Linked DNA regions of Anolis sagrei. The protein of the gene in region 1 purifies or fractionates together with the protein of each later gene. This does not show direct contact. Links are inferred from orthologs where the notes say so. Each region holds a gene or a part of one and is shown in the gene's direction. Other genes may lie near its edges. The genes, in order: H2AZ1, WDR5, NAP1L1 and RUVBL2.

Evidence for each region.
Region 2: the proteins of H2AZ1 (region 1) and WDR5 purify together in Homo sapiens (affinity purification with mass spectrometry; 3 studies listed by BioGRID and IntAct, with this or other methods). This does not show direct contact. The link is inferred for Anolis sagrei from reciprocal best matches to the Homo sapiens genes H2AZ1 and WDR5.
Region 3: the proteins of H2AZ1 (region 1) and NAP1L1 purify together in Homo sapiens (affinity purification with mass spectrometry; 3 studies listed by BioGRID and IntAct, with this or other methods). This does not show direct contact. The link is inferred for Anolis sagrei from reciprocal best matches to the Homo sapiens genes H2AZ1 and NAP1L1.
Region 4: the proteins of H2AZ1 (region 1) and RUVBL2 purify together in Homo sapiens (affinity purification with mass spectrometry; 6 studies listed by BioGRID and IntAct, with this or other methods). This does not show direct contact. The link is inferred for Anolis sagrei from reciprocal best matches to the Homo sapiens genes H2AZ1 and RUVBL2.

The regions. Positions count from the first base shown.
Region 1 is NC_090025.1:26,582,934-26,589,787, reverse strand, and holds the start of H2AZ1 (histone H2A.Z), read left to right. Parts: upstream 1-3,853; 5' UTR 3,854-3,995; coding exon 3,996-3,998; intron 3,999-4,446; coding exon 4,447-4,524; intron 4,525-6,854. UniProt on the Homo sapiens protein: Variant histone H2A which replaces conventional H2A in a subset of nucleosomes. Nucleosomes wrap and compact DNA into chromatin, limiting DNA accessibility to the cellular machineries which require DNA as a template.
Region 2 is NC_090031.1:5,426,429-5,433,884, reverse strand, and holds the start of WDR5 (WD repeat-containing protein 5), read left to right. Parts: upstream 1-4,455; 5' UTR 4,456-4,655; intron 4,656-6,599; 5' UTR 6,600-6,679; coding exon 6,680-6,760; intron 6,761-7,456.
Region 3 is NC_090025.1:146,472,946-146,480,312, reverse strand, and holds the start of NAP1L1 (nucleosome assembly protein 1-like 1), read left to right. Parts: upstream 1-4,367; 5' UTR 4,368-4,476; intron 4,477-4,505; exon of another isoform or gene 4,506-4,663; intron 4,664-7,367. UniProt on the Homo sapiens protein: Histone chaperone that plays a role in the nuclear import of H2A-H2B and nucleosome assembly.
Region 4 is NC_090026.1:28,231,302-28,238,364, forward strand, and holds the start of RUVBL2 (ruvB-like 2), read left to right. Parts: upstream 1-4,063; 5' UTR 4,064-4,129; coding exon 4,130-4,144; intron 4,145-7,063. UniProt on the Homo sapiens protein: Possesses single-stranded DNA-stimulated ATPase and ATP-dependent DNA helicase (5' to 3') activity; hexamerization is thought to be critical for ATP hydrolysis and adjacent subunits in the ring-like structure contribute to the ATPase activity.

The DNA.
Region 1 (6,854 bases):
TCAGCAGACTGAAAGCCAAAACCAAGGTTACAACAACATGTTATAGAACTCCAATATGCTGATGACAAAGTTGTCTGTGTGCATTCAGAATAAGACCTACAAGCCACTCTAAACACCTTTGCAGAAGCATATGGGAAGTTCGGCCCGTCATTGAACATCGAGAAAACCAAAGTGCTCTTCCAGCAGTCACTAGGCAATCCCTCTCCAATGCTAGAAACACAGCTTAATGGTGTAACATTAGAAAATGTTGACCATTTCCGCTACCTTGGCAGCCACCTCTCCACAAAAGTCAACATTGACACTGAAATACAACACTGCCTTAGCTCTGCCAGTGCAGCTTTTTTCTGAATGAAGCAGAGAGTGTTTGAGGACTGGGACATCCGTAGGGATTTCAAGGTGCTTATTTATAAAGCTATTGTCCTCCCAACCCTGCTATATGCCTGCAAGTTGTGGACTGTCTACAGACATCACATGCATCTCCTGGAATGATTCCATCAGTGCTGCCTCCAGAAAATCCTGCAAATCTCTTGGGAAGACAAGCGGACAAATATCAGCGTGCTGGAAGAAGCAAAGACCACCAGCATTGAAGTTATGGTCCTCCGCCATCAACTCCGCTGGACTGGCCACGTTGTCTGGATGCCCAACCACTGTGTCCCAAAGCAGTTGCTCTACTCCAAACTCAAGAACAGAAATTGGAATGATGGTGGACAGGAAAAAAGATTTAAAGATGGGTTCAAAGCCAACCTTAAACACTCTGGCATAGACTGAGAACTGGGAAGCCCTGGCCCTTGAGCGCTCCAGCTGGAGGTCAGCTGTGACCAGCAGTGCTGTAGAATTTGAAGAGGCACGAATGGAGGGCGAAAGAGAGAAACGTGTCAAGAGGGAGGCACATCAAGCCAACCCAGAATGGGACCACCTTCCACCTGGAAACCAATGCCCTCACTGTGGGAGAAGATGCAGATAAAGAAGAGGGCTCTATAGTCACCTACAGACCCACCGCCACTTATCTTGGAAGACTATCCTACTCGGACAACGAGGGATTGCCTAAGTAAGTAAAGTACAGAAAGGAGATTTGTGGATGAGGAATTCATAATACCCCACACTGTTACCGGGCAGTTTGGGTTGTTAAAAAAAACAACTTTGTAGGTGAGGTATTTGCTCATCTCTGAAACTGGAACTATCAATATATGTATATGAATGCAAAGGGGTCATATAGCATATTGGAGGCTGAGGGCCCTTCCATACAGACTTTAAAGTCCAGGATCTGATCCCAGCTTTTCTGGGATAAACAGAAAACCAGTTGAATCATGTGAAGTGCCTAAGAATAGAACATATGAGGATGCTGTGGACTCTTCTACACTGCCATATAAAATCCAGGTTATATGCTTTGAACTGGATTATTTGGAATATAGACTCATATAATCCAGTTCAAAGCAGATAGTGAATTATCTGCTTTGACATTGACATCTCCGGACCATTCTCTGTTCTGGTATCAGCCAGCAAGCCAACACTTTAAATCAAGAAGCAGCTTCCTAAGATCTACAGAGATACTTGCAGGAACACCTCAGCAAGCAAGAATCCAAAAGTGGCAGGTTAAAACCTGAAACTGGCTGATACCAGATGAGAAACTCCCTCAGGGCACACAGAAGGCTGCGTGACTTGGAAGGCGCTGAACAGACTGCGCTCTGGCACCACGAGATGCGGAGCTAACCTTAAGGAATGGGGCCATAAAGTGCCGCCCACGACATGCGAGTGCGGACAAGAGCAAACCGCAGACCACTTACTACAATGCAACCTGAGCCCTGCCACATGCACAATGGTGGATCTTCTTACAGCCACACCAGAGGTACTGCAAGTGGCCAGCTTCTGGTTAAAAGAAATGTAGTAGAATGCCAAGCTTTTAACTTTATGGTTTTTATATGAATTATAACTGCATTCTCAATTCACTTCTGGCACAATAAATAAATACCCAAACACCACAGTTCAACAATAAGTAATAAGTTTATTAAGAAAAAGGTATATAATAGAAAAGATAGTTTCAAAAATAATCCAGAAGTAATTCCAAAATTAGCAGACTAAGCAATCACAAAAGTACAATAAAAAAGCAGACTGTAAATACATTTTCAAAGTTATATCCATAAGCTCGATATTCTGGAGCTGTTCTACTCCAGAAACTTCATTTTTGTGGCTGTCACAAACTAGGTTGAATTGGTTGAGACTCTATGACAGGGGTCCTCAAACTAAGGCCCGAGGGCCAAATACGGCCCTCCGAGGTCATTTACCTGGTCCTCGCTCAGGGTCAACCTAAGTCTGAAATGACTTGAAAGCACACAACAACAACAACAACAACAACAACAACAACAACAACAACAATCCTAACCAATCTTGCCAAGAAAACCCTGTGACAACAACGGTTACCATTAGTCGAGAACCACTTGAAGGTACACATGGTAGATGCAATGCACAGCAGTTAGTATTCCTCTATAACAGACATTGGCAAACTTGGGCCCTCCTGGTGTTTTGGACTTCAACTCCCACCATTTCTAACAGCCTCAGGCCCCTTCCTTTCCAGTTCGGCGCGAGGAAGGGGCCTGAGGCTGTTAGAAATGGTGCGAGCTGCAGTCCAAAAGACCTGAAGGGCTGAGGAAGAAATGGAAAGTGCCTGAGGCTGTTAGGAATTGTGGGAGTCGAAGTCCAAAACACCTGGAGGGCTGAAGGAGAAAAGTGCCTGAGGCTGTTAGGAATTGTGGGAGTTGAAGTCCAGAAGACCTGGAGGGCTGAGGGAGAAATTGAAAGGGCCTGGGGATGTTAGGAATTGTGGGAGTTGAAGTCCAGAAGACCTGGAGAGCTGAAGGAGAAAAGGAAAGGGCTTGAGGCTGTTAGGAATTGTGGGAGTTGAAGTCCAAAACACCTGGAGGGCTGAAGGAGAAAAGAAAAGTTCCTGAGTCTGTTAGGAATTGTGAGAGTTAAAGTCCAAAACACCTGGAGAGCTGAAGGAGAAAAGGAAAGGGCCTGGGGCTGTTAGGAATTGTGGGAGTTCAAGTCCAGAAGACCTGGAGGGCTGAAGGAGGAAAGGAAAGTGCCTGAGGCTGTTAGGAATTGTGGGAGTTGAAGTCCAAAACACCTGGAGGGCTGAAGGAGAAAAGGAAAGTGCCTGAGGCTGTTATGAATTGTGGGAGTTGAAGTCCAAAAGACCTGGAGCGCTGAAGGAGAAAAGGGAAGGGCCTGAGACTGTTAGGAATTGTGGGAGTTGAAGTCCAAAACACCTGGAGAGCTGACGGAGAAAAGGAAAGGGCCTGAGGCTGTTAGGAATGGTGGGAGTTGAAGTCCAAAAGAAGTGGTGGGCCCAAGTTTGCTCATGCCTGCTTTATAATTTTCCCTACAATCCAGTTTTAGTGGAACCTACAGCCCTTTTAAGTATTTTGGACTTCAACTCCCAGAATTCCTGAGAGTGGTCCACGCTGGCAGGGGCTTCTGGGAGTTGAAGTCCCCAAGGACTAAAACGCTCAGAAGAGTTTCTCTTCACAGGAAAGTGGGGAAATTTATATATTTTTTAATTGAGAAAAAGGAACCAGCTGCAAAGAGGAGAGTGGGGATGTCTCTTTATTGAGTGGTGATGGGAGAGAGAAACGTTCCAGGCGGGGAAGGAGAGCAGAGAGAGGAAAGAACAGAGAGAAACGCCTCTGGGGGCTCAGGTGGGCGGGGCCTATACGGGACAGTTCGGCGCGAGACGCTCCGAACGCAAGCCCCTCCCCCTCCCTCCTGCTCGGCTTCCTATTGGTCCTCCCGGGGCGCAGGGGGAGCCGCCTCATTGTGCCGATTGGCTGGTTTGACGACGCGAGGCCCCGGATGACGGGACGTTAGAGCCGCCTATAAAGGGCTCGGGGAAGGCGGGAGCGGGCGCAGTTTTGAACTGGCGCCGCCGTCTTCGCATCGTCAGGGAGGTCTGCGCTCAGTTCTGCTTTCGTGTGTCTCATTCCAAGGCCTCATTCGAAATGGTAAGCGAGGGTGAAGCGGATCAGGGCAGATTAGGGGAAAGAAAGGGGAAAAAATTGTGAAGGGAGCGCGTGATGCGCCCTAGTCTCGTGCTGTCGGCTGCCTGGCATAAGGAATACCCGGATGGGGAAAGAAAGAGGGAGAGGCTAGAGGACAGTGAGGGGCGCGGTGGGAGAAGAGTGACGCGCATGCGCCCGGGAGTAAGGCTCGTGGAGGACCTACCGCGCATGCGCCTCGGCTCCGACGCCTTATAGAATGGGGGGGAGGGAATGCTGTGAAGAGGAGACTGCGCACGCGCGGGCCTGCCTACCTCTCGCGCGCCCTCTCCGCCCCAAGCCCTTGCGTCACGTGGGAGCCAGCCCGCGGCGGGGCGGGGGTGGTTGCTAAGGAGGAGGAGGCCACGTGTTGACTTGCCTTGCCTCTTCTGCTTCTTTCTCTGTGCTCTTCTAGGCCGGTGGCAAAGCTGGGAAAGACTCTGGGAAGACCAAAACCAAGACGGTGTCCCGTTCACAGAGAGCTGGCTTGCAGGTGGGCACTTGGGGGGTGTTGCAAAGCGTTCGGCCTTGTCTTGCGTCCTTCTAGGAAGGAAAAAGTTGATAGAATCAAAGAGTTTATTTATTTATTTGGGGTTCTTTTACCCCGCCCTTCTCACCCCGAGGGGGACTCAGGGCGGCTTACAAAGGCAAAGGCACAATTCGATGCCTGCATCATAAAACAATCATACACAAAATTACAACAATTCATGCATTATAACCATAAAATCAATAAAACCAATACAAACCCAGTTTCGCCTCTTACATGGTCAGCGTTCGCTAGCTCATAGATCTAGTTTTACATTCCACTTCATCAATCCTGTTGGACATACTCGCCTGGTTGTCTGATTTAATTGCCAGAGTGCCCAAAGGCCTGGTCCCATAACCACATCTTCACCCTCCTGGAGGCGAGGAGGGATGGTGATGCCCTGATTTCCCCCGGGAGTGAATTCCACAGGTGAGGGGCCACCACTGAGAAAGCCCTGCTCCTCGTCCCCACCAGCCTCACTTGTGACAGTGGTGGGGTCGAGAGCAGGGCCCCCCCCAGATGATCTCAGACTCCGGGTGGGACGTAGAGGGAGATACGTTCGGACAGATACACTGGACCGGAACCGTACAGGTTTTTGTAGGTTAAAACCAGCACCTTGAGTTGTGCTCGGAACTGAGTTGGGAGAGACCACGTCCAGTCCCAACCCCCTTTCCATGCATTAAGATGCAGCCCCAATGGAAAAGGCACGGGCAAACTTCGGTCCTTCCTCCAGGTGTTTTGAACTTCAACTCCCACAATATATTGTATTTTTATTTATTTATTTACTTCATTTATATACTGCTTTTCTCAACTCTTAGGCAACTCAAAACGGTTAACAACAGCAATTTCAATACACACATTACAAAACCATTGGAGCATTTAAAAACAAATAGCATAACAACAAACATCAATATTTATTTATTTATTTACGGCATTTATATGCCGCCCTTCTGACCCCTAAGGGGACTCAGAGCGGCTTACAATATATATTTTAGGTTCTTCTGGTTTTTTTCGGGCTATAGGGCCATGTTCTAGAGGCATTTCTCCTGACGTTTCGCCTGCATCTATGGCAAGCATCCTCAGAGGTGGTGAGGGTGCTTGCCATAAATGCAGGCGAAACGTCAGGAGAAATGCCTCTAGAACATGGCCCTATAGCCCGAAAAAACCCACAAGAACCTAGTGATTCCAGCCATGAAAGCCTTCGACAATACAATATATATTTTCATACAATATATTATATTATTAGCGTAGTACAATATCAGTATAATATTAGTATATTGCACTGTACCATTATATTGTATTACATTATAATATTATAAATATATGTATATATAATATACTATATTATATTATTAGTAAAGACAAGATGGAAATCATTCACGTCTCATCAATAGAATCAGAATCCAATATCATCATCCGTTACTCCGTGTTCCTATAATCAATTACACTGCCTAATCGAATGCCTGTTCGAACAACCGGGTCTTCACTTTCCTCCGAAATGCCAATAAGGAGGGGGCCAATCTGATATCTGTAGGAAGGGCATTCCACAGCTGAGGGGCCACCACTGAAAAGGCCCTGACTCTCGTCCCCGCCATTATAATCAATATAATATTGATTATATTATCAATATTATACACATATAATATTGATAATGTAATACAATATGATTCTAACAATATAGTAATTGTATATTTTATATTACAGTATAGTGGTATAGTACAATATGTAAATAAAAATGTAATGTTCGTTTGTGGGAGTAACATAGCTCAAAAACCACTGGACGAATTGACACCAAATTTGGACACAATACATCTATCAGACCAATGAGTGACCATCACTCATAAAAACACTGAAAAACCCAGCAGAAAAGACTCAAAAAAGCAAAAAAAAAATTACAATTCATGTACATAACCACATATATACACACACAAAACACATACACAAACTGGCCATAGCAACGAGTGGCAGGGGATAGCTAGTAGTAATATGTAATACTAATGTACTGTGCTAATAATATATTATATACATGTATAATATTGATAATATGTAATGCAATATAATACTAGTAATACAATATAATTGTATATTTCATATTACATGTAACATTACTAATAATATTACAGTATATTGGTATAGTATAATACAGTCATATAATAATAATGTGCTGTTCTAATAATATGTATTGTATGTACATATAACTTGTAAGCCTCTTTAAGTCCCCTTCAGGGTAAAAAGGCTGCTTATAAATGTTGTAAATAAATAGAATTCCTAACAGCCGGAAGACTGTTAGGAACTGT
Region 2 (7,456 bases), on another chromosome or scaffold:
CATAACATTTAGACCCTGTTGGTTCTCTTGGACATCCCAGCGGCTTTTGATACCATCGATCATGGTATCCTTCTGGGACGACTCTCCGGGATGGGCCTTAGAGGTACGGCTTTGTCCTGGAGGGTCGATCCCAGGTGGTGAAGCTGGGTGACGCCTGCTCGGACCCCTGGCCTTTGACCTGTGGGGTCCCACAAGGTTCCATTCTGTCCCCCATGCTTTTCAACATCCTGATGAAACTGCTGGGAGACGTCATCCGGAGTTTTGGAGCTGGGTGCCATCTCTACGCAGATGACGCTCAACTCTACTACTCTTTTCCACCTAACTCCAAGGAAGCCCCTCAAGTGCTAGACGAGTGCCTGACCGCTGTGGCTGTCTGGATGAGGAGGAACAAGCTGAAGATCAATCCCGACAAGACAGAGGTCCTCCTGGTCGATCGTAAACCAGTCCGGGATATAGGGTGGCAACCTGTGCTGGACGGGGTTGCACTCCCCCTGAAGTCACAGGTCCGCAGCTTGGGGGTCCTCCTGGAGTCTTCACTTACGTTTGAGGCTCAGGCGTCGGTGGTGGCCGGGAGGGCCTTTGCACAATTAAGACTCGTGCGCCAACTGTGACCGTACCTCGGGAAGGCGGATCTGGCCAAAGTGGTCCATGCTTTAGTCACCTCTAGACTGGATTACTGCAATGCACTCTACGTGGGGCTGCCCTTGAAAACGGCTCGGAAATTCCAGATGGTCAAACGGGCGGCGGCCAAGTTGCTAACTGGGGCTCCTTAGAGGGAGCGGTCATCCCTCCTGTTCAAGGAGCTCCATTGGCTGCCATTCATTTTCCGGTCCCAATTCAAGGTGCAGGTTCTTACCTACAAAGCCCTGAACGGTTTGGGACCCGCCTACTTGCGTGACCGCACCTCTGTATTCGAACCCACACGATCCCTTTGATCATCCGGGGAGGCCCTGCTCTCGATCCCACCAGCATCGCAGGCGCGGTTGGTGGGGACGAGAGAGAGGGCCTTTTTGGTGGTGACTCCTCGACTCTGGAATTCTCTCCCTAAAGACATCAGACAGGCCCCAACCCTGGCAGTCTTCAGGAGGAGCTTGAAGACGTGGTTGTTCCAGTGTGCCTTCCCGGAATAATTGATTCCATAGCACCTTGTCCTCCAAAGCACTTTACATTTTTAAGGTCTGCTCATATGCCCTTCCATAAATGCCACTATCACCTTCTCGTCCATGTCCCAGCATTACTTCCAATTTTAATTTACATTTGGCCTTCCCACTGTTTTTAATTATGTGTTGTCTTATTGATAATGTTGTATATTTTATTTGTCTATGTTTTATTTTAATTGCTTGTACTGTTGTTATTGCTTGTATTGATGTACTGTGGGCTTGGCCTCATGTAAGCTGCACCGAGCCCCTTGGGGAGATGGTAGCGGGGTACAAATAAAGTGTTATTATTATTATTATTACTATTATATTACATTATAATATATATATATTATTAGCATAGCACAATATTAGTGTTCTATATTATTATATTGTACTAGACCACTATATTCATAGAGTTGGAAGAGACCTCCTGGGCCATCCAGTCCAACCCCATTCTGCCAAGAAGCAGGAATATTGCATTCAAATCACCCCTGACAGATGGCCATCCAGCCTCTGTTTAAAAGCTTCCAAAGAAGGAGTCTCCACCACACTCCGGGGCAGAGAGTTCCACTGCTGAACGGCTCTCACAGTCAGGAGGTTCTTCCTCATGTTCAGATGGAATCTCCTCTCTTGTAGTTTGAAGCCATTGTTTCGCGTCCTAGTCTCCAGGGAAGCAGAAAACAAGCTTGCTCCCTCCTCCCTGTGGCTTCCTCTCACATGGCTATCCTATCTCCTCTTAGCCTTCTCCAGGCTAAACATGCCCAGCTCCTTAAGCCACTCTTCATAGGGCTTGTTCTCCAGACCCTTGATAATTTTAGTCACCCTCCTCTCGACACTTTCCAGCTTGTCAATATCTCTCTTGAATTGTGGTGCCCAGAATTGGACACAATATTCCAGGTGTGGTCTAACCAAAGCAGAATAGAGGGGTAGCATTACTTCCCTAGATCTAGACACTAGGCTCCTATTGATACAGGCCAAAATCCCATTGGCTTTTTTCACCGCCACATCACATCTTTGGCTCATGCTTAACTTCCTGTCCACGAGGACTCCAAGATCCTTTTCACACGTACTGCTCTCGAGCCAGGCATTCTCGCCCATTCTGTCTCTTTGCATTTCGTTTTTCCTTCCAAAGTGGAGTATCTAGCATTTGTCACTGTTGAACTTCATTTTGTTAGTTTTGGCCCATCTCTCTAATCTGTCAAGATTGTTTTGAATCCTGCTCCTGTCCTCTGGAGTATTGGCTCTCCCTCCCAATTTGGTGTCGTCTGCAAACTTGATGATCATGCCTTCTAGCCCTTGATCTAAGTCATTAATAAAGATGTTGAACAGGACCGGGCCCAGGACGGAACCCTGCGGCACTCCGCTCGTCACTTCTTTCCAGGATGAAGAGGAACCCTTGGGGAGAATCACCCTCTGGATTTGTCCATTTAACCAGAACCCCCCTCTTGGTTCGTCCATTTAACCAATTCCAGATCCACCTCACCATAGTTTTGCCTCGCCCACATTGGGCTAGTTTCCTTGCCAGAAGGTCATGGGGGACCTTGTCGAAGGCCTTACTGAAATCCAGGTACGCTCCATCCACGGCATTCCCTGCATCTATCCAGCTTGTAACTCTATCAAAAAAAGACATCAGATGAGTCTGGCATGACTTGTTCTTGATCAATCCATGTTGACTATTAGCAATGACCGCATTTGTTTTTAAGTGTTTGCAGACCACTTCCTTAACAATCTTTCCCAGAATCTTGCCTGGTATCGATGTGAGGCTGACCGGACATTGGTCATTGTTTGGGTCCTCCTTTTTTCCCTTCTTGAAGATTGGGACCACATTGGCCCTCCTCCAATCTGCTGGAACTTCTCCCGTTCTCCAAGAACTCTCAAAGATGGTTGCCAATGGTTCCGAAATGACTTCCGTTAGTTCCTTCAGTACTCTTGGGTGTAGTTGATCTGGCCCTGAAAGGGGACTTGAACTCATTTAGAGCGGCCAGGTATTCCTGGACGACTTGTTTCCCAATTTGGGAATCTCTCTAATCCCTCATCCACTCCATCTTACGGAGATTGAAAATGACTTTCTTTTTGTGAGAAGACCGAGGCAAAGAAGGTATTAAGTAGTTCTGCCTTTTCCCTATCCCCTGTCAGCATTGCCCCATCTTCTCCTCAAAGAGGCCCTATCGCCTCCTTGTTTTTCCTTTTTCTACTGACATAAGAAAAGCCAGCAACTACTTAAATCAAGAAATAGTTTTCTTAGATCTACAGAGACACTTGCTGGAATACCTCAGCAAGCAAGAGTCCAAAAGTGGCAGGCTCAAACCCAGAACCTCAACCAATGGCTGATACCAAATGAGAGACTCCCCCCTGGGCACACAGAAAACTGGGCGACTTGGAAGGCTCTGCACAAACTGCGCTCACCACGAGATGCAGAGCCAACCTCAAGAAATGGGGCCACAAAGTGGAATCCACGACATGCGAGTGTGGAGAAGAGCAAACCACTGACCACCTGCTGCAATGCAACCTGAGCCCTACCACATGCACAATGGAGGACCTCCTTACGGCAACACCAGAGGCACTCCAAGTGGCCAGATACTGGCCAAAGGACATTTAATCAACTACCAAGTTTGCAAAATTTGTTTTCTTTTTTCTGTTGGTTTGTTGTGTTCTGTTAGAAATGTAATACAATTGTATGCTTGCTGATGACACGATAAATAAATAAATAAGCACAATATTAGTGTTTGATATTATTATATTGTACTAGACCACTATATTGCTATATTATTAATAATATTAGATGTTCTATATAATATACAATTATTATATATATTTATTGTATTGTATAATAATATTATCCCATTACATATATAATACATTAACAGTATATTATACAATTAGTAATATATATATGTGTGTATCTACACACACACACACACACACACACACACATATATATATATATTTAATACTTCTTCATACAAAATGCCAAAATCATATAGAGATATATTTAAGTCATGGATACAGATCAGTTCGGCCTATTCTTCGAAATTTACTGAAAATCCCCTAAAAATGCTTTCAGAACGTTCATTCCAAGCAGGCCAAAGAATTCGCCCCTGTCCCTTTAAGGCGTTTTGCGCGCGCTCAAGTCTCTTAAGTATTGTTTTGAGATCTTTTTATCCTTCGCGGGCCGCCGTAGCCGAGGGAGGCCCCCTCCTGCGCGTGCGCCAAGGGAGGCTAAGCGAAAAGATGTCGCTCGCGTTGCCTATTAAGATTTGAAGGCTCTTTTTATCCCTCGGGGGCCACCGTAGTCGTAGGGAAGCTATCCTTCTGCGCCTGCGCGGGGCGGATTCTCGCTGCGGCCGGCCTGAGGAGCGGCTGCGTCCTTCCTCACTGCGCCTGCGCGAGAGGCCTTCCTCCCGCCCGGCGGCCAGAAAAAGGAAAACGGGGCCGCCGCTGAGAGAAAAAGGACGGAGGAGGCGAAGGAGAAGGAAGAGGAAGACATCCTCCCTTCCGTCGTCAGGGGCGAATCGAGTAAGGCGGGAAAGGCGCAGGCCCAACGACTAGGCCTCAGTGGCGATGACGTCATGGGGTCCTTTTTGCCCCCCTCCCCCTCCCTTCTCTGCCCCGAAGAGCTTCCAGTTCTATAGATACAGATTTAGGGATGCTTTCATGGGTTTTTGTGTGTCTGGCGAACTGAAAGTCTTCCATTGCTGAGATATGCAAGGATTATGCGTGTGTGGCCAGTGTGTACACGTGTGTGGCCGTGCACACGTGCTTTGAGAGGAGAAGCCTGAGCTAAAGTGGGATCAATGCAGTTTTGCAGCACTTGAACTGCCATGGTTCAGTTCTATGGCATCCTGGGAGTTGTAGCAATATCAGGTCTCTAGAATGCATCTACATTGTGGAATTAATGCAGTTTGGCCCCACTTTAATTGCCATGGCTCAGTTCTATGGCATCTTGGGAGTTGTAGCTTTATAAGGGCTCTAGAATGCATCTACATTGTGGATTTAATGCAGTTTGGTAGCACTTGAACTGCCATGGCTCAGTTCTATGGCATTGAGGGAGTTGTAGTTTTATCAGGTCTCTAGAATGCATCTACATTGTGGAATTAATGCAGTTTGGCCCTACTTGAACTGCCATGGATCAGTACTATGGCATCCTGGGAGTTGTAGCTTTATCAGGTCTCTGGAATGCATCTACTTTGTGGAATTAATGCAGTTTGGCTCCACTTGAAGTGCCATGTCTCAGTACTATGTCATCGAGGGAGTTGTAGCTTTATCAGGTCTCTAGAATGCATCTACATTGTGGATTTAATGCAGTTTGGCACCAGTTTAATTGCAGTAGTGCAGTGCTATGGTATCATGGGAGTTATAGCTTTATAAGGCCTCTGGAGTGCATCCATATTGAGAAATTAATGCAGTTTTGCCCCACTTGAACTGCCATGGTCAGTTCTATGGCATTTTGGGAGTTGTAGCTTTATAAGGGCTCTAAGGTGCATCTACATTGTGGAATTAATGCAGTTTGGCTCCACTTGAAGTGCCAAGGCTTAGTTCTATGGCATCCTGGGAGTTGTAGCTTTATCAGGTCTCTAGAATGCATCTACATTGTGGAATTAATGCAGTTTGGTCCCACTTGAACTGCCATGGCTCAGTTCTATGGCATCCTGGGAGTTGTAGCATTATCAGGTCTCTAGAATGCATCTTCATTGTGGAATTAATGCAGTTTGGCACTACTTGACCTGCCATGGCTCAGTTCTATGTCATCGAGGGAGTTGTAGTTTTATCAGGTCTCTAGAATGCATCTACATTGTGGAATTAATACAGTTTAGCTCCACTTTAATTGCAGTGACACAGTGCTATGGTATCATGGGAGTTACAACTTTATAAGGTCTCTGGAGTGCATCTATATTGAGAAATTAATGCAGTTTGGCACCACTTTAATTGCAGTGATACAGTGCTATGGCATCATGGGAGTTACAGCTTTATAAGGTCTCTAGAGTGCATCTATATTGAGAAATTAATGCAGTTTGGCACACTTTAATTGCAGTGAGGCAGTTGTCCTTTTATAAAGTCTCTAAGGTGCATCTAGATGGTGGAATTAATGCCGTTTGGGTACCACTTGAGCTATCATGGGGCATTGCTATAGCATCGTGGGAGTTGTGGCATTATAAGGTCTCTAGGGTTCATCTACATTGTGGAATCAATGTATAAGTTGTATAAGCTGTATAAGTTTTATAGGGTGTACCTACATTGCAGAATTAATGCGGTTTGGCATCAGTTTAACTGCTGTGGCACAGTGCTATGGGATTCTGGGAGTTGTAGCTTTATAAGGTCTCTAGGGTGCATCTATATTGTGGAATTCATTCAATTTGGCACTGTTTGAATTGCCACCCAAGTCAGTTTTGGAAAAACAATGTTAAAGCATTTACCGTATGAAAACAATTGGTTGGTTTCTTTTTCTGTCCGTTTCTCCAGGAGACTGCTTTTACTTCTAAGCCGTCGTGCTCTTTTGTCCTCGGAAGAGCCTGAAAGCTGGCTGGCTTCTTTCCAGAGCTATGGCCACGGAAGAGAAGAAACCCGATGCAGAGTCGACCAAAACGCAATCCACGCCTTCCTCTTCGACCAACCAAACCAAGGTACGACGGAGGCATCTGCCTCCCAAACTCAAATGCTCAAAAGGTTCGGAGGCTGCTTAGTATGTTGGATTCTTCCTAGCCCTGGAAATCCCAGTGTCATTTAAGGAGTTGGGTGAACATTGCTCAGGGAAGGGTTCATAAGTTGTACAGGCAGTCCCAAAGTTACGTACAAGATAGGCTCGGTAGTTTGCTCTTAAGATGAATTTGTATGCAAGTTGGAACCTGGACACAGCATATTATTTGAGAACACAGAAATGCTGGACCACTCTCACAACCACCATGTCAGACTACACAGAGAAGCCATTGAAATCCACAAGCATGTGGACAATTTCAACAGAAAGGAGGGAACCATGAAAATGAACAAAATCTGGCTACCAGTATTAAAAAACTCTAAAATTACAACAACAAAACAACAGAAAGTAAACAATCAGGCACATCAAATCACCTCTCAACAAAACATGCACTTCCCAGGCACTTCCAAGCCAATAAATGCTAATCAAGGTGGTCAGTTGAAGCATTCACACCTAGCTCCAGCAGACAAAAGTCCTTTGTCCCACCCTGGTCATTCCACAGATATATAAACCCATTTTCCTAGTTCCAACAGACCTCACTACCTCTGAGGATGCTTGCCATAGATGCAGGTGAAACGTCAGGAGAAAATGCCTCTAGAACATGGCCATATAGCCCGCAAAAACC
Region 3 (7,367 bases), about 120 Mb from region 1:
AAATATTTTATGTGTCTTGATTTTGTAGTCAGCTAAAAGTGCCATTCTCATGAGAACCAGTAGAATTATGAATTGAAGTACTGGCATGGTTTCCATCCAATGTGCCAGGAACCAATAACTGCTTCTATCTTGGAAACTTGCTGCAGATTGGCAGCCAGAAGTACATGGAATGGCACTTGTCCATGGATCCCCACTCTTGAGCAGCACTGTTGATGCATTAAAAGACTGATTGTTCCTAGACTCTCAGTGTACACCAGATTGCAGTGGGAGATGCTGTCTCACTGCAATCATGCTAGTTTAATTATGGAAGCATGCAGTTATGTATTATTCTTTCTCACAACTGTCGCTTTAGCGATCCATTGTTGCACAATCTGATTTTGGCACCACTGTCATTACACCAAAGGGCTGTCATGGCTTCTTTAGTGTTGTGGTTACTAGCTATGAAAACAATCTGTATCTTTCAGAGGTACCCTACTTTCATATTTTCTTGCAGATATGTCCATGTTGAATATTACTTCACATGCACCAGGGCTGTGCCCTAAAACAAAACCAATCCTGATGCTGGGTCTTACCACAAATTAATGTTTGGCAATGTATATCAGGATCCATGTTCATTGCCTATTTTAGCATGAAGATGCTCTGTGCGCCAGCTGCGCCCGTACCTTGGGAAGTCTGACTTGGCCACGGTAGTCCACGCTCTGGTTACATCCCGTTTAGACTACTGCAACGCTCTCTACGTGGGGTTGCCTTTGAAGACTGCTCGGAAGCTTCAAATGGTCCAGCGTTCGGCAGCCAGGTTGCTAACAGGAGCGGCACTCCGGGAGCATACTACTCCTCTGTTGCGCCAGCTCCACTGGCTGCCAGTTTGTTACTAGACACAATTCAAAGTGCCTATAAAGCCTTAAACGGTTCTGGCCCTACTTACCTCTCAGAACGCATCTCCTCCTATGAACCGGCTAGGACTAAGATCATCTGGGGAGGCCCTGCTCTCTGTCCCGCCTGCATCACAGGCGCGCTTGGCGGGGACGAGAGACAGGGCCTTCTCAGTGGTGGCCCCTCGGCTGTGGAACGTCCTGCCTGCAGATATCAGATCGGCCCCCTCCCTGCTGGCGTTTTGAAGGAAAGTGAAAACCTGGCTGTTCGAACAAGCATTTGATTAAACAGTGTAATTGAACATAGGAATACAGAATAATGGATGATGAGACTGGATTCTGATTTTACTGTTGAGGCTGTTAATAATTGTTATACAGATGTTTACTGTTAATAATTGTTATACAGATGTTTAATGATTTATGTTACAATTGTTTTTAATTGCCCTATACTTGTCTCGTGATGTTTTGTATTGATGTTGTTCACCGCTTTGAGTCGCCTGAGGGCTGAGAAAAGCGGTATATAAATAAATAAATAATAAATAAATAAATAATAAACATAATGTACACCCAAGAAAGCTCATGCTAAAATAAAACCTAGCTATTTATAAAGATGGTGCTATATCCTTTTTTTCCCCTGGAAATCTATCAAATTCCTTAGGAGCTCAGATGGGAAGTGGTGCTTATTTTGAAAGCATACGTCTTGGCTTAGGGTTCTTGCTAATTCAAGGAATGTAGGCTGGTATTGTTGACAGCAGTCTTCAAAAGTGTTAAGAAACTTTTACAACAGACATTAAGCTGAATTTTTCCTCTTTCAATAAAAAAATTAGACAACTTTTCTGTTAGTAAAAACATGGCAAAATAATGTACTTGATCAGTGCAAATATATCCTTTCTTTATTCCACTGTGGTCATCTTATGTCTATCCAGCACTGGACTGCCAAAATGATTCTGAGTCTCATGGCTCTGATCATGTGGTTCCCATCTTTAAAGCACATTAGCTTTTGTTCTATTCCCAGGTGCAACATGCCTAATCCCCCTTCTTTACGACCATGCTTAGGAGTGTGTGCGGATGAGATCTGCAAGGTCTTTTCACCATTCCGCAATGCAGTATGGCTTTCGCTGTGTAGATCAGGCATGGGCAAAATTCGGCACTCCAGTTGTTTTGGATTTCAACTCCCACCATTTCTAACATCCTCAGGCCCTTTCCTTTTCCCCCTCAGCTGCTTAAAAGGAAAGGGTCTGAGGTTGTTGGGAATGGTCAGAGTTGAAGTCCAAAATACCTGGAGGGCTGAACTTTGTTCTTGCCTGGTGTAGATGATTACATAGGAAGTCCCAGAACCAGTTCGAAGCCCAGGTGGTGATAGCACAAACCACAGCGCACTGATGCACATTAAGGGCTTTCTTTTGCCTTCTTTTGTGGGATTTTGTTGTCCAGCCACCACAGTTTGCGAGCCAACTTTGAACTGCATTACATGGATAGTGTAGATGGGGCCTAAGGCAACCCTATGACATGGTTTTCTTGAAGGGAGGGGGGAGTTGCCTTTGCCTTCCTCTGAGGCTGAAAGAGTGTGTCTTGCTCACAGTCAGAAGGGTTGGTTTGAAAACCGAGAATTTTTAGAGAACACCCTAAAATCCAATATCTGGCCACTTGGAGTGCCTCTGGTTTTCGCTATGAGAAGGTCCTCCATTGTGCATGTGGCTGGGCTAAGACTGTATTGTAATAGGTGGTCTGTGGTTTGCTCTTCTCCACACTCGCATGTTGTGGTCCCATTTTGTGGTCCCATTTCGTAAGGTTGGCTCTGCATCTCATGGGGCCAGACCGCAGCCTGTTCAGTGCCAAGTCGCCCAGTCTTCTGTGTGCCCAGGCGAGAGTCTCTCATTCGGTATCAGCTATGGGTTGAGGTTCCAGGTTTTAGCCTGCCACTTTTGGACTCTTGCTTGCTGAGGTGTTTCTGCGAGTATCTCTGTAGATCTTAGGAAGCTATTTCTTGATGTAAGACATTGACGTGTCAGTTGATATCCGAAGAGGGGATGGGCCGGAGATGTCCATGCCTTGGTCCTTTCATGATTGGCAACTTCCCAGCAGATGTCAGATGGTGAAATACCAGGTAAACAGTATAATTTCTCCAGTGGTGCTGGGCGTAGACATCCTGTGATAATGCGGCATGTCTCATTAAGAGCCACATCCACTGTTTTAACGTAGTGAGATGTGTTCCACACTGATCATGCGTACTCAGCAGCAGGGGACACGAGAGAAGCCTCCCAGCAGGATCGTAACATGTCTGGGAGTCTCCTGGGCAATGTCTTTGTTGACGGCTGATTCTTTCACACCAGAAGCAACTTGCAGCATGCAACCAAACAAATAATACAGGTAATACATTATTATTAGATAAAGGTTTTCCCCTGACATTCAGTCCAGTCGTGTCCGACTCTACGGTGTGGTGCTCATCTCCATTTCCAAGCTGAAGAGCCGGTGTTGTTCATAGACAGCTCCAAGGTCATGCATGACTGACTGGAGCGCTGTTACCTTTCCGCCGGAGCGGTACCTATTGATCTACTTACATTTGCATGTTTTCAAACTGCTAGGTTGGCAGAAGTTGGGGCTGACAGCGGAAGCTCACACCACTCCCCGGATTTGAACCTGCGACCTTTCGGTCAACAAGCTCAGCAGCTCACCGGTTTAACGCACTGTGCCACTGAGGGCTCCGCATTATTATTAGGTAAAGGTTTTCCCCTGACATTAAGTCCAGTCGTGTCCAACTCGAGTGTGGTGCTCATCTCCATTTCCAAGCCGAAGAGCTAGTGTTGTCCATTGACACCTCCAAGGTGTGACTAGCATGACTACATGGAGCACTGTTACCTTTCCACTGAAGCGGTACCTATTGATCTACTCACATTTGCATATTTTCGAACTGACAAGTTGGCAGAAATTGGGGCTGACAGCACACTACTCCCCAGATTTGAACCTGCAACCTTTTGGTCAACAAGCTCAACAGTTTAACCCGTTGCACCACCAGGGACTCCATTATTATTATTATTATTATTATTATTATTATTATTATTATGTGGAAATATTCCTTTACAATTGAACAGAAGGAGGGCTAGTTGCCTTCCCTTCCCATTTAGATTGCGTTCCAGAGGCTGCAGGGTGAAGTTTTGAGGCCAACAAGAGCCACTGTGGCCACTTCCTAGAGCCAGCGCCCTCCTTTTTCTCTCTCCACTCTCCTTCCCAACTGTCATCCTCTCTGCTCTCCTCCTTTTGCTCCCCCCTCCCTCCAACCTCACACTCACGCGCACGCGCACTGCTGTTTGTCCTGAAGGAATCCAGGGAGCACGTGTCCAGCCCGTGAAGCGCCGGGGCCTTGCCCGTCCGGGCCCGCTGATTGGCTAGGGCAGAGTTGGCGGGTTGATTGGCGGGCGGGGGGGGGGGGAAAGAGAGAGAGAAAGAGAGCGAGATTTACTCCCCCCACCTTCTATTTTTTGGGGCCTTGTCACTAGGCAGCGAGTGTGGACGTTCCGAGCGCGCGGGAGGCGGATGTGCGCGCGCGCCGGCTGGGTTGCCCAGCAACAGGAGCGCGCGGGAAAGGCGAGAGGAGGGGAAAGAGGTGTGTGTGTGGAGAAAGAGGGAGGGAAGCGTTACGTGGTGACGTTAATTCTATATGAGCGCGAGCGGCGGGAGCTTGGGTCCTTTCCTACTGCTGGCCGCGCGGCGCTGCTTCCCCGCTCCTGAGTCACTCACGGCGAGGCTGAGGAGAGAAGCGGAGAGGAGAGAAGAGAGCCGGCCTCGCGCAGGTAGAGAGAGAGAATGAGAGAGAGAATGAGAGAGAGGAGGGCGGCGCGTGGCGGGGAGGGCGAACGAGCGAGGGAGGGCGAGGCTGGGGATGCCTGAAATGGCGGCATGACGACGACGACGACGTTGCTCGGTGAGGCAGGAAAGAAAGACCTCTTGAGGGGGAAAGCTTGGCGTTGGCGGGAATGGAGAAAGCAGGCGGGCAAAGGGGGTTCCTTTCCCCCTCTTCTTTCCTGTGGCTCTTCGCCCGTGGCAGGGCAAAACCGCTTTCTCTCTCCTATCTGAGGCCACTTTCCCCTCAGAAAATCTGGGTAGATGGGCACCTCGGCCCGGCCTAGTCCGCCCGCCTGAAGCCACGGCCAAACACGTGGGGACGAGGCCTCTTACTTCCCCGGCGCCACGTAGATGGCGTGGCCGGGGCCTGAAGCGCCTGGGCCGGGAGGTGGCTTGCGAGGCGTGAGGTGGAAATACATACCCCTCTTCTGTTGAGTTTTGGGGTCTCAAGGGAGGGGAGGGGAGAGGGAGGAGAGAGAAGGGCGTCTCTGTTTGGCGGGAAGTAGGCTTGGAGTAGACTTGATCGCTCTTCGTTAGGTTTTCCACAGGAATAAAAGCACCCGCTTTAGTTGTTAGGAGAGAGTTGATGCAAACCTGGTGTGGTTGCGTCCACAGGTAACGCAAGACCTCTGGCCTCCATTTCTTTCCTTGCTGTTGATTCCAGGAGGCAGAAAAGCCTCTCTTTCGCCAATGGCAGCTATTTGCTTAGCGGAAGGGAACAGCAATACATCTATGGACATAGACACACTTGAACAACAATGGCATTGTAACTTAACTGCACGATTTCTCCCAATCATCAACATCAAATGCACATGAAAGAAAACAACCCCACACATACAGAACATAGAAATATTTGAACAACATTACAACTACACAGTTTATCTTAGTAACATCAAATGCAAATAAATTGTGTAGTTATTCAATACTTATACACACATTGCAATACTTATACACACATAGACACATTTGAACAACAATGGCATTGTAGCTTAACTGCACGATTTCTCCCAAACATCAAATGCAAATGAAAGAAAACAAACCCACACATACAGAGCATTGAAATATTTGAACAACATTACAACTACACAGTTTATCTTAGTAACATCAAATGCAAATAAATGGTGTAGTTAGTTCAATACTTATACACACATAGACACACTTGAACAACAATGGCATTGCAACTTAACTGCACAATTGCTCCCAATCAAATGCAAATGAAAGAAAACAAACCCACACATACAGAACATAGAAATATTTGAACAACATTACAACTGTACAGTTTATCTTAGTAACATCAAATGCAAATAAATTGTGTAGTTAGTTCAATACTTATACACAGATAGCAATACTTATACACACATAGATACACTTGAACAACAATTGCATTGTAACTTAACTGCATGATTTCTCCCAATTATCAACATCAAATGCAAATGAAAGAAAACAAACCCACACATACAGAACATTGAAATATTTGAACATTACAACTACACAGTTTATCTTAGTAACATCAAATGTAAATAAATTGTGTAGTTAGTTCAATACTTGTACACACATAGCAATACTTATACACACATAGACACACTTGAACAACAATTGCATTGCAACTTAACTGCACAATTTGCATCAACATCAAATACCAATGAAAGAAAACAACCCCACACATACAGAACATTGAAATATTTGAACATTACAACTACACAGTTTATCTTAGTAACATCAAATGTAAATAAATTGTGTAGTTAGTTCAATACTTGTACACACATAGCAATACTTATACACACATAGACACACTTGAACAACAATTGCATTGCAACTTAACTGCACAATTTGCATCAACATCAAATACCAATGAAAGAAAACAACCCCACACATACAGAACCTAGAAATATTTGAACATTACAACTACACAGTTTATCTTAGCAACATCAAACACAAATAAAGAAAACAACAATACTTATACACACATAGACAAACTTGAACAACAATGGCATTGCAACTTAACTGCACAATTTCTCCTATCGTCAACATCAAATGCAAATGAAAGAAAACAAACCCACACATGGACTGAATTGAAAAGCATTACAACTACACAGTTTATATTACCAGCATCGAACACAAAGAAAACAACAATACTTATACACACATAGACATACTTGAACAACAATTGCATTGCAACTTAACTGCACAATTTCTCCTGTCATTCACATGAAATGCAAATGAAAGAAAACAAACCTACACATGCATAACAGACTGAACTGAACAGCATTACATCTACACAATTTATATTGCCAGCATCAAACACAAATAAAGAAAACAACATTACTTATACACACATAGACATACTCAAAGAACAATTGCATTATAATTACACTGTTTTTCTTAACACGAAACACAAAGTACACATCCGTACTTACATGCATACATAAATATACTGTAATTGACTGATTGCAATAATGATACAATTTCTCTAACCAACATCAAGCACAAATAAAGAAAACAAAAATACTTATACATACATCAACATACTTGAACAAAAATTGAATAACTACACAATTTCTCTTACCAGCCTTAAACACAAATAATAAGAGAGAATGCTTCTAGGGCATGGCCATACAGACCAAAAATCCTACAACAACCCACAAATAACAA
Region 4 (7,063 bases), on another chromosome or scaffold:
AAGACAGTTCTTGTAAAATTTGGGTTTTTATTTTTGATGATGACACTTTAAATGAAGGAGAAAGGAAGAGTCAGACAAATTGCATGAAATTTTACTTTGCTAATGTAAAAAAAAAAGGACTTGTTAGATGTGCTGGTTTATTCTCTGCGACAGATTCCCCCAACCTGGTGCCCTTTAGATATCTGAATTACAGTCGCCCTACACGTTTGTGGATCCGACATTTGCGGATTTGATTAAAATGTTCTAGGATTCTCTCCATCCTCCAGTATAACTCTGTGATTAACTTTGTTGGATGTTGACTGTAGAGTCATGTTGGGAGGACGTAGAACAGGCATATGCAAACTTTGGCCCTCTAGATGTAGGGGGAAAAGGAAGGGGCCTGAGACTGTTAGGAATGATGGGAATTGAAGTCCAATACACCTGGAGGACCAAAGTTTGCATATGCCTGACATAGAACAAGGGTGTCAAACTCGAGGGCCACATCAGCCTTGAGGTTCATCGAGGGCCACATCAGCCTTGTGGTTGCCTTCAAAGGGCTGTTGAATCCATGGGTGTTGAATTCATTCATATATAGTGTCAACACTATCTATCTATCTATCTATCTATCTATCTATATACAAACACACACACACACACACACATATTGGTTAGTGCTCTTTAGTTTTTACCCAGTCTGGGTTGTCAGATGTTATTGAACAACTATAATCACTTTTGATTATCTGCTATACAGACTGTGGATAATGGAGATTGCAACCCAACAGCACTTGTCACCCTGAGGTTGGAAAGGTTAAAGGGCATTATATCCACAGGCCTTGTATCTAAAACTCCACTCTCCTGACTCAACAGGACAAACTGCAGCCTTTCAGATGCTGCTGTATCCCAACTCCCATCAACTCTAGACATGATGTCTCATGGTACGGAATACAGGAGTTGTAGTCCACCTTCTGGAGGGCCACATAAAAGGACATGGTGGGCCAGATTCAGCCCGCAAGCCTTGTGTTTGAAATGTGACCTCAGAGAGTCATACAGAGAACACCTCTCTAAAAACAAACTGTAGGTCTTCCATGCGATTCTATGGTCAATTTCACATAGTGAAAGTTCACATAGTGTCATGCTGGAGGATATCGAAATTCCTAGAGAGGTATTATCTGAAGTTTTAAAAAAGCCATTTATTTTTATTTTTCACTTTTGCCTAACCCCAGCAAATGTGAAAGGATGACTGTACAGCTCCCACCCTCCTTGACCATAGGCCAAGTTTTCCATGCTAATGCAAGTTGCATTTCAGATGATCTAGTGGACAAAAGATTAGGGAAAGCTGTACTTAAAAAAAAAGGAAATGAAACATTGAGATTTCTAGGATTAAAAGGAAGGACATAGTCCTCTCCTCACCCATGAAAATGTCATTGCTTTTTGGGACAGTGCAATATGTTGCTGTGTAACTAATTTCCAAATGCTACCTTATTCTCAAGGAAATATGCAAAGGGTTGTAATGTAAGAGGACCTTAAATTACAACCTTGTTCTGTGATAAATATCTCTGGAAATTGAGGCTTTCCTTAGAAGCTGTTTTATGGCAGTAGGATAAGCAGTAGCTCAAAGTAAGGCTTTTGTGCTCACTTTATTTTACATGTGCCAACTGTTGCTTTCCCAAGTTTTTTTTTATAAGAGTTAGTTCTGGTTTCTATGTGTGACTTTTCTTTGTTTTGCTGTTTTTAAATATATATATATTTATTGTGTTGTTTTATTGCTTGTTAATTTTCTTGATTTTATGGGAGCTTTTGAAAAGTGGAATCAATACTGTAAGATCCCTATAAACATGGAACTTATATCCATGGCTTCACTTATCCACAGCAGAGGAATAATGGTCTCTCTCTGGGAATTTGCTAGGTTTTCCAGGTGATTCTATAGTATGCTTTCCCTGGAAGTTACCATAGGGTTGCATTGGAGGACCTAGTGAATTCCTAGAGATTATATTTCTATAGCAGTAGTTCCCAACCTGTGGCTTGCCAGGTGTTTTGGCCTACAACTCCCAGAAATCCCAGCCAGTTTAGCAGATGTTAAGATGTCTGCGAGTTGAAGGCCAAAACATCTGGGGACCCACAGATTGAGAACTACTCTTCTATAGGAATCTCTAGATCCTCTAGTGTAGTGGTTCTCAACCTGTAAGTCCCCAGATGTTTTGGCCTTCAACTTACAGAAATGCTAGCAGCTGGTAAACTGGCTGGGATTTCTGAGAGTTGTAGGCCAAAACACCTGGGGACCTACAGGTTGAGAACCACTGCTCTAGTGCATCGCTTTGATATGGAAGTCATGTGATTTAATGGCATTCGGTTATATCCCAGTGGATATGGGGGTCCTACTATACATGGAAAATGTATCCTGTTCAAAATGTACTTGCAAGCTACAAACAATGTGAAAACACAGTGTGAAAATGTACAGAATTTTACTGCAAATCTCTTAATTTATCCCACAAACTCAGGGATTTGGGTGTGTTTCTGTGAAATGCCGAAAGCTTCTCTGAAGCACTGTTTATTTTAAAATAAAATATTTTAATCTGAAAAAAATCCTCAAAACTTTTATTGGTAGATGTTGCTTCATTCTTGATAATTTCCCCTTTTGTCACATCAGTTTTCCTTTTGCTTTGTGCATGCTTTCATATAAAATTTATCGTATGGCTAACTATATTTAAACAGGACTTTTTTTGAAGTGGTTTTCAACTGAAATGAAGGCAGAAAGAACCCTAAAGTATGGTGTCATAAAATAGCAATGTTCACTATAAATTTCCCAGTAAAGCAAAGAGTTAGAAGTAGATAACTAGAAATATACCGCCATAGAAACAGTTAGAACATGTGTTTGCGTTTGAACATGAGTCTCCTTGTAGAGAAAAAGTGGGGTAGCAGAAAAAGAAGGGAAAGGAAGGAAAGAAAGGGTGAAAGAAAAAGGAGGGAAGGAAGTGAAAGGAAAGAGAAAGGATGAGAAGAAAGAATCATAGAATCAAAGAGTTGGAAGAGACCTCATGGGCCATCCAGTCCAACCCCCTGCCAAGAAGCAGGAATATTGCATTCAAATCACCCCTGACAGATGGCCATCCAGTCTCTATTTAAAAGCTTCCAAAGAAGGAGCCTCCACCACACTCCGGGGCAGAGAGTTCCACTGCTGAACGGCTCTCACAGTCAGGAATTCTTCCTCATGTTCAGATGGACATGTAGTTTGAAGCCATTGTTTCACGTCCTAGTCTCCAAGGAAGCAGAAAACAAGCTTGCTCCCTCATCCCTGTGGCTTCCTCTCATATTTATACATGGCTATCATATCTCCTCTCAGCCTTCTCTTCTTCAGGCTAAACATGCCCAGCTCCTTAAGCCGCTCCTCATAGGGCTTGTTCTCCAGACCCTTGATCATTTTAGTCGCCCTCCTCTGGACACATTCCAGCTTGTCAATATCTCCCTTAAACTGTGGTGCCCAGAATTGGACACAAGAAGGGATAAAGGAAGGAAGAGAGGAAAGAATGAAGAGGTGAGAAGCTGTATGAGGTAGATGGAGGAAGGAGGGAAGCTGCAAATAGAGTATGTCTACTGTTGCCATGGAAAAATTGTGAGATGGGCCTTCTCAGAGCTGGAGAAGGGAGAAAGCAGGCCTGGGCAACAATGTGGATGTCAAATCCCAGCAGTCTAGCACATGCATGGGCAAACTTGGGCCTTCCTCCAGGTGTTTTGGACTGCAACTCCCACAATTCCTAACAGCCGGTAGGCTGTTAGGAATTGTGGGAGTTGCAGTCCAAAACACCTGGAGGAAGGCCCAAGTTTGCCCATGCTTGCTCTAACATAATTAGACAGGTTGCATTATGTCTAGCTTCTTAGATATTTAACTCATTAATTAATTATCAGGGTAAATAAACATAACAACATTTAAAGCCTCTTTTAATAAACTGGTAAAGAGACTTCACAGACACCTTGTACACAGCTGAGCTGGAATGACTATTACTACAGCAAGGACTACTGGAGGACTGAGGGAGCATAGACGTTGCCTCGGACAGAGCGCCCTGAAAGCTGAGGCCGCTTCCTGTTTCCGGTGCTGAGGAGGCAGGGCCGGCTGCCGCTTAGAGACGGCGCGAGAGACGGCGGGAGCAGCAGCATGGCAACGGTGTCGGTGAGCGACAGCCTTGTTTCCCTCCTTTGAAAATACCCGGATCATCCTTCTTTTATACGAGTTTAGCATCTGATTACTTTCTTTTTCTTCTAACTTGTGAGAGGAATGCCAGAGCAAGCATTCCCCGGTTTTGTTGGGAGTGTAACTCCCATCATCACCTCTTATCTTTGGCTATGTAGTTTATCAGAGGCCTGCAGTGTTGTAGGTGTATTACTATACTTTAGAATAGGCTTGGGCAAACTTGGGCCTTCCTCCAGGTGTTTTGGACTCCAACTCCCACCATTCCTAACAGCCTCAGGCCCCTTCCTTTCCCCCCTCAGCCGCTTAAGCGGCTGAGGGGGGAAAGGAAAGGGCCTGAGGCTGTTAGGAATGGTGGGAGTTGGAGTTCAAAACACCTGGAGGAAGGCCCAAGTTTGCCCATGCCTGCTGTAGAATGAATGCAGTTTGACACCACTTTATCAACCACAGCCCACTGCTGTTGAATCCTCGTCGTTGTCATTTTAGAAGTCCTTTAGACTTCTCTGCTTCAACAAACTACAACTCCCAGTATTGCCATGGCAGTTTAAGTGCTGTCAAACAGCATTAATTCTACTGTGTAGATTGCCTGCTGCTTGTGGCCACTTATTTCTGTGTACGAACCCACATGATCTCTTCGATCATCTGGAGAGGCCCTACTCGCGCTCCCACCTGCATCGCAAGCGCAATTGGTGAGGACAAGAGAGAGGGCCTTCTTGGTGGTGGCCCCTCGACTCTGGAACTCACTCCCTAAGGACATCAAGTATGCCCCAACTCTGGCAGTCTTTAGGAGAAGCTTGAAGACGTGGTTGTTCCAGTGTGCTTTCACAGAATAATGAACCATTAGCACACGGGTCCTTAAACTAAGGCCCGAGGGCCGAATATGGCCCCCCAAGGTCATTTACCCAGCCCTCACTCAGGGTCAACCTAAGTCTGAAATTAGGTTCTTGTGGGTTTTTTCGGGCTATATGGCCATGTTCTAGAGGCATTTCTCCTGACGTTTCACCTGCATCTATGGCAAGCATCCTCAGAGGTGAGGGTCACCTCTGAGGATGCTTGCCATAGATGCAGGCGAAACGTCAGGAGAAATGCCTCTAGAACATGGCCATATAGCCCGAAAAAACCCACAAGAACCTAGTGATTCCAGCCATGAAAGCCTTCGACAATACATTAAGTCTGAAATTACTTGAAAGCACACAACAACAACAACAACAACAACCCGCCAAAACAACAATCTCATCAGCCAAAAGCAAGCCCACACATACCACTGGAATACTAATAAGTTTATACTTGTTAAAATGGTTCTTCATTTTAATTATTGTAATGCTTTAAAGTGGGTTTTTTGCACTACAAATAAGATGTGTGCATAGGAATTCATTCATTTTTTTCCCCAAATTATAATCCAGCCCTCCAACAGTTTGAGGGACTGTGACCTGGCCCTCTGCTTAAAAAGTTTGAAGACCCCTGCCTTAGCATTATGTCCTCCAAAGCACTTTATACTGATTTAGGACTGCTTGTACGTTTCCCCAACGCCCCACCTCCTCTACCTTGTTCATGCCCAGCATTATTTTTAACTTAATTACATTTGGCCCAGCCATAGTTTTTAAATGTGTTTTGTGCCACTGTTCAATGTTTATGCTGTTTTGTGTATGAGATTTATTTTAATTGCTTTGTATTAGTATTTGTATTTTGTTTTGTTTTGTAATTGCTATTGCTTGTATTGATGTATTGTGGTCTCGGCCTCATGTAAGCCGCACCGAGTCCCTTGGCAGATGGTAGAGGGGTATAAATAAAGTATTATTATTATTATTATTATTATTATTATTATTCCATCAGCCCACTTTGGTTGGGATTAAATGTTTACTTTTAAGATGTTTTATTGTATTTTGATAGAATTGTTTAATTGATATGTCATCAGCCCACTTTGGTTGGGATTGAATGTTTGCTTTGAAGCTTCTTATTGTATTTATATTTGAATTGTTTAATTGGTATGTCACGTTTAGTACCGTATGTTTTAATTGATAATTGATATGCTAATTGTTTAAATTGATATATTTTATATGTGTAATGCGGCATTGTATGCCATGGTCTGAAAGCAGCCCTGAGTCCCCCAATTGGGGAGAGAAGGGTGGGGTATAAATGTAGTTTTATAATAATAATAATAATAATAATAATAATAATAATAATCAGAACCAATGCAATTAAGGCCTGGATTGAAAAATCAGCTGATGGTCCAAAAAGTAGACTGTGCAAGGAAGCTGATGAAACCATAGATCATATCCTCAGTTGTTGCAAGAAAATCGCACAGATGGAGTACAAACAAAGACACAACTCTGTGGCCCAAATGATTCACTGGAACTTATGTCACAAGTACCACCTGCCAGCAGTAAAGAATTGGTGGGACCATAAACCCGCAAAGGTTGTGGAAAATGAACATGCAAAAATACTGTTGGACTTTCGAATCCAGACTGACAAAGTGTTGGAACACAATACACCTGACATCACGATTGTGGAAAAGAAAAAAGTTTGAATTATTGATGTCGCCATACCAGGTGACAGTTACACTGAGGAAAAACAGCAGGAAAAACTCTGCCACTCTCAGGACCTCAAAATTGAACTGCAAAGGCTCTGGCATAAACCAGTACAGGTGGTCCCAGTGGTCATTGGCGTACTGGGTGCCGTGCCAAAAGATCCCAGCCGGCATTTGGAAACAATAAACATCAACAAAATCACGATCTATCAACTACAAAAGGCCACCTTACTTGGATCTGTGTGCATCATTCGAAAATACATCACACAGTCCTAGACACTTGGGAAGTGTTCGATTTGTGATTTTTGATACGAAATCCAGCATGTAGATCTCGTTTGCTGTGACATACTGTGCTTTTGTGTCAGAATAATAAT